Linked DNA regions of Kluyveromyces lactis. The protein of the gene in region 2 interacts with the protein of the main gene of each other region in a pairwise test. Links are inferred from orthologs where the notes say so. Each region holds a gene or a part of one and is shown on either strand. Other genes may lie near its edges. The genes, in order: SRP14 and SEC65.

Region 1 (2,524 bases), on a different chromosome or scaffold from region 2:
ATTAGAAGGCAAAGACAGTACCAGGAAATGCAACGGTTATTAAGAGAACAACAAGATTCGAGATACCAAGAATCGCTAGAAAGGGACCAGGAAAGGGATAGGGTAATCGAGGAAAGCCAACTTAAAAAGAAATGGTTGGCTTGGAGAAAATCTGTACTAGTGCCAGAACCATCGGGTGACGGTTGCAGAGTAAGCATCAGACTAGAAAATGAAAGAATTATTAGAAGATTTGATGCTTCATTAACAATTGAGGAGATTTACGCATACGTTGCATTATACAGAGCAGGTTTATTATCTGACACTAGCAGCGAGAATGATATTACACAAGAAAAACCAAATTACGAGTATCAGTATGACTTTCAACTATATTCACCTGTGCCCAGAACCCGTTTGGAGCCAACCACAGTGATCAAGGAAGAACGGACAATTTATCCATCGGGAACAATTGTCGTGGAGTTCGAATGAAAACCAAATTACTGGTTTGCAGTTTGACATCTATATATGTATATATAACATGTACTTTATAATGCTACACGATTGCGGATTTATGATTCATGGGTGATAATAGGTTGGGAATATTTCATCAGTTTTTCTTACCACCCTTCTTCTTCTTCTTCTTTTTAATTAATCCAGACATACTTGTTTTTACAACATTAACATAATCCTTCCAAAATTTATCAAGAGTCTTTGAATCTACCAAAGTGAAGAATTTCGTTCGTTTCCCATCATATGGCATGCTCACTAGCACGATAAGTCTGTATGGTTTTGTATCTGGTTGAGCGTTTTGTTTTAAACGTTTGGATTCTGACATCTTTGAGATATCACCAGTAGGATTGGAAGTAACATCCAATTCATTAGGTTTTTGAACGTGATGACTGCCCAAGTCTCTTTTCAAGCTTACTTTGAGCTGATTGTGCGATACCTTGGACATTCTGAAAGCTTTTTCAAGCTTAACAAAAAATTCGTCATGAGACAAAGGTTTCTTTATGAAATCTGGCGTTTCCTTAAGCCCACTAGCGGTTCCATCTTTGTCTGACATAATGGGAAGTTACCTGTATATTCTGGTGACTTGGATAAGTGATGATATTGAACCTTTTTCTTTGGACATCTTTACCATATTCTGCCTGTCGAAGGTTGAATCTAAGGCCTTTCCCTCATTTGACTGGAGCTAAGTACGATTTTTTCAACTGGCAATTACACTACCCGGCCATCGTCCCTTCACTATGTGTTTCCTCTTTATTTCTACGACGTTTCTGATATCCACTCTGTTTCTATACCGGTAAACAAGTGCAAAAAGAATGAAATGTGGCAAACCACGTGACGTTCTTCATTACCCGGATAACATTTAACATCTGCGCCAGATTTGCCAAATCAATTGTGCCTATTCACCTGAACCCGAAAAGAAATTCGTTAGTTTTTTTAGAAAAAGAAATTTCCGATCCTCGATCTTGTTTTTCCCAACAAAAAAAAAAAAGAAAAACAACAGGTCCCCATACTATATGAGATGAGACGAGATGAGATGAGATGCGATGAGTTACAGAGAAACAGAAAGGGGGTAGTCATTGTCACTTTGCACTAAAGAGAAGCGTGTGTAAGCTTCTCTGTCATCAAGGAGATTACGGACTGTTTTTTGAGGTATCCTATTGGATATGTAAGTTGATCGCGTGATTTGCTACAGAGTTTTGTTGGCAATGTTACACCTTCAATCGATCAACTGTACATTCTCTCACCCTTGATGAGAGATCCGGGAGTATCCAGTGTTATTGTAGAAGCTCAATTGTCAATCGATGGCAAGATATCAGACATTGGTGTCTGTTTTGTTTTTTTTTTTTTTCTCTCCCTACTAGCCTTTGACGCATTTTCCTTTTGGTTGGATTTGGTTTCATAAAGAATCAGTGTCCCTCGCTGATTTCACCACAGTACAATTCGTAAAAAAAAAGAATTGAAACATTAAACCGTTAAGCGTAGCCAATACAATCGTTTATAGGTGCTTTTTTGTCCAATTGGATATTCGTTCTTAGTATTTATTTGTAGTATATAGTGAATAAGCAAGATTGTGTTACGATTGGTATCAGCAACGGAGTGATAAATCCATCCTCATGCCCTGTTAAGTCCAGGCCCTTGGATATCAACGGCATCAGTAACTTCCAATGTGGACCCTTTCTTGACGCGCGCTGGCAGGGAGATCAATGTAGTGCACTCCGTTACTTTTCGAAATATATATTTCTTACTTTTTTTTCTCGTTAACGCTGCTGCGGCGTATTGTCTAAATACATTAATTCAAATCTTTACCGTAATTTCATTTCCAATATATAAAACCAAAGGCAGTTTAAATTTTAAATATTAAGATTGTCCCAATTTTGGTCTTTTTGAGTTTTTGAGTTATAGAATATTTACATATATATAGTGATAGATTTGAGCAATCTAGTTCTATTTAAAAGGGACATATCATCAGGCTAATCTCTTGATATCTGTTTCGGCTGTGAAAAGGGGTTCTGCTGCATAAATTCAGAGCTTAATCTAG
Region 2 (3,136 bases):
TATTCCATTAGCATCGATCGTTTGTGTGAAGTTAGCTGAAATCGGTGGTTCGAAATTCCAAGATGTGAAGTATGCCTTCAACAGAAAGGAAGCCAAGGACCATGGTGAAGGTGGTAATATCGTTGGTGCTGCACTAAAGGACCAAAAAATCTTGATCATCGACGATGTCATGACTGCAGGAACTGCAATCAACGAAGCGTTTGAGATCATTGCCAAGGAAGAAGGCAAAGTTGTTGGATCCATTATCGCATTAGACAGACAAGAGGTGGTTAACACCGAAGACACCGAAGTTCTAAGTGCTACTCAATCTGTTTCTAAGAGATATGACATCCCAGTTTTAAGTATTGTCAACCTGTCAAACATTATCAGCTACTTGGATGGCAGAATCTCTGTGGAAGAAAGGGAAAAGATGGAACAATACCGTCAAACTTATGGTGCATCTGCATAATATCACCCTCGAATCTATCTTAACATATATAATTATACATATTTAAAACAGACACTGGGAAACGCCGCTTCTTGTTTAGATATTTGGTGATAAAAATGACAGAAGTATTCCATTAACGTCTTACTACACGGAACTTGTTCTTTGGCATCTTCATTTGTTTCTCTGGTGCAGATACCTGCTGCGCGGGAGGCGGAGGTGGAGGAGCATCATATAGCGATTTTGTCATTGGATGCTGTGTCAAGTATGGACTATGCAATGGCACGATGTCATTCATTGCTGTTCCCTTCAATAAAGGAATCTTCTTCGGTTCTACGTTATCAAAATCTGGTCCATATGGAAGCTGTTTTACACTCTCAAGTGTTGTAGGATGGCTCTTCAAGTACTCTCCAATACGCTTCATCAATACTCGCTTGTTATCGATTCCACTCACAAATGGTTTTCCATTTTCCTTGATCAACACACGTACTCTTCCCGGATTACCAAAATCTTGTGGATGTGTCTTTGATCCTTCGAATATTGATGGAATTCCAAGCGATCTGGCAGCATCTGCTATCGTCTTGGCCAATGGGTTCTCCACACAAAGATCTTTTGGAGCACGTCTCCCTTGGGCATGCGTCCTTCTAGTGTCGAAATAACATGGATACAACATCTGGAATTCTTTGATCTCATCCAGCTCTTCTTTAGTCAAAGAATGACTCTTTTCCACTTGACCGGTGGTGCTATTAACAAAATTGAACCCACTACCGCTGCCTGCATTACCAGAAATTGCAGCAGAATATGCTTCTTCTTCTTGATCTTGCGATCTAACCACAGTGGGTACGATCTTTGGTGCCACTGGTGTCTTCATCGTGGAGTCCAATTCTGCGAGATCCATCTCTAAATTATCGATATCATCGATATCATCGATCTCTTCAATCACAGGCATTGTGTGTAAATATCCCTAACAAATACTGTAGCCTTAACTATTGCTTGGTTGATGCTGCTTTGTTTCCAACTCTTTGAAGTGGTCGTTCTTATCCACTGTTTAAAGCTCATCAAAAATTTTCAATTGAATTTAAAGGTTTAGTAGGGATAGAGAACTAAAGAGGATCAACTAACATGAATCCAAACAGCTACTAATGATTGAGTTCATAGCAATTGTAGCCGCTGGACTTCAAGTGGGTAGCTAACATTGTACCGGTCCCTTTTTATTCGGTTTTGTTTCGGTAAAATGGACTCACAACTGGCCCGTGATGCCATAGATCTGTTAGCAACGCTAGATCAAGAACAAAGGAATGATCTTTCAGTACATTTATACTCTGCGCATCTATTGAAACACTTATTGTATAGAGCGAATAAGGATGAGAAGAACATATTACGTACCGAGACGTTTGTGAAGACCGTCTTGAAAGAAGATTGGACCGCGTGGCCGAGCAGAAATTCAATAATCGACCCCAATACATCCGATATATATGAAGATCAAGCAGGGTGTCTCGCCTCTGAAAATATAGGCGGTATTCATAGGAAAGGGGTACAACCGGGTCAATTGGACCAGTCATCGTTGAACCATGCGACAGAGATGTTATATGGAGAACTCAATGCGTTCTGGCAGCAGAAACTCAAAGAGAGTTCGGTAATGGGCCAACAAACTGAAAATAAGACCGCCGATGAGGGTCAGATTGAGGATCCAAATACAATTGTCGATGAAAATGACAGTGAGATACTTGGCGTAAATGATACGGCGCTGGACGTCAACGAAATGGATTTACCAGATGATATATTTCAAAACCTACTGTTCAAGGTGGATAGGTTTATTGGATCTTTGCATTTGGATGCAGCTGAGACCAACACTGTCACGTTATCGACAATTCCTAGTGAGCCTGAGATCAAATTAAAGAGTACCACCATAGGCAATACTGAAGCAGTGACGACCAGAAGTAAAGAAAAGTACGATTACAAGGACATAATTGTGCACGGCTGTGAGACTGGGGAAGATATGTCTCGACAATATTTGCGGGCCATTGATTTATTTCAAGATCTGCCGAAGACTATGGACAAATCGCAGTTTGTACTCCCGGATGCATACTTGGACAGGTTCTCTCAGGTGAACCTGGGCAACTCGGACTCGGAACAATCAGATGATGATCCACAAGATCATACAAAGCTCGAAGAGAACATTAAGAAGAAAGAAAACAGTGGTAAGAAAGACGTGAAATCGTTCGTTGATATGAAACGAATTATCAAGGATCGTAATAATGATCCTGTAGTGAGAAGAGAGACAAGGCTCCTACTTAGGAAGGATGAGTTTGCGAGGGACAAGAAAATGTTCTTCACGGTCTTGAATCACCAAAACTCGAGTGAGCAATCCAACAAACCTCGAAGAAGAATCAAGAAGAGAGATAAGAACAACAATAAAAATATAGTTTCACTAAATATTGACTCGGATTATGGACCTGGAGACTTGGATTGAATTCGTTTAATCTCATCAAACATGACATCCATAATCTCGAGCATCAAACTAACATTTAAATACTCGTTCTGTAGCATTGAATGTAATCTATATCCTGCATTGCTCGCATACATTGTGCCGACCACTTTCCCGCAAGTCTCTACCATAAACCTTTCAAGCATCGCCTGCGATTCTGTACTGGTTCGGATAATTTCACCTTCGGTCCTGGCTGATGGCTGTGGAATGCTGCTGCTCTTGAA

The links.
Region 1: the proteins of SEC65 (region 2) and SRP14 interact in binary tests that used the Saccharomyces cerevisiae proteins (3 or more experiments, as listed by UniProt). The link is inferred for Kluyveromyces lactis from reciprocal best matches to the Saccharomyces cerevisiae genes SEC65 and SRP14.

Annotation. Positions count from the first base shown.
Region 1 is NC_006042.1:679,104-681,627, reverse strand, and holds SRP14 (RNA-binding signal recognition particle subunit SRP14), read right to left. Parts: upstream 1,040-2,524; coding exon 584-1,039; downstream 1-583. Other genes in the region: clathrin-mediated endocytosis regulator UBX3, read left to right, coding at 1-465. UniProt on the Saccharomyces cerevisiae protein: Component of the signal recognition particle (SRP) complex, a ribonucleoprotein complex that mediates the cotranslational targeting of secretory and membrane proteins to the endoplasmic reticulum (ER).
Region 2 is NC_006040.1:164,757-167,892, forward strand, and holds SEC65 (RNA-binding signal recognition particle subunit SEC65), read right to left. Parts: upstream 1,374-3,136; coding exon 561-1,373; downstream 1-560. Other genes in the region: orotate phosphoribosyltransferase URA5, read left to right, coding at 1-448; RRN9 (Rrn9p), read left to right, coding at 1,659-2,897; MDM1 (Mdm1p), read right to left, coding at 2,873-3,136. UniProt on the Saccharomyces cerevisiae protein: Signal-recognition-particle (SRP) assembly has a crucial role in targeting secretory proteins to the rough endoplasmic reticulum (ER) membrane.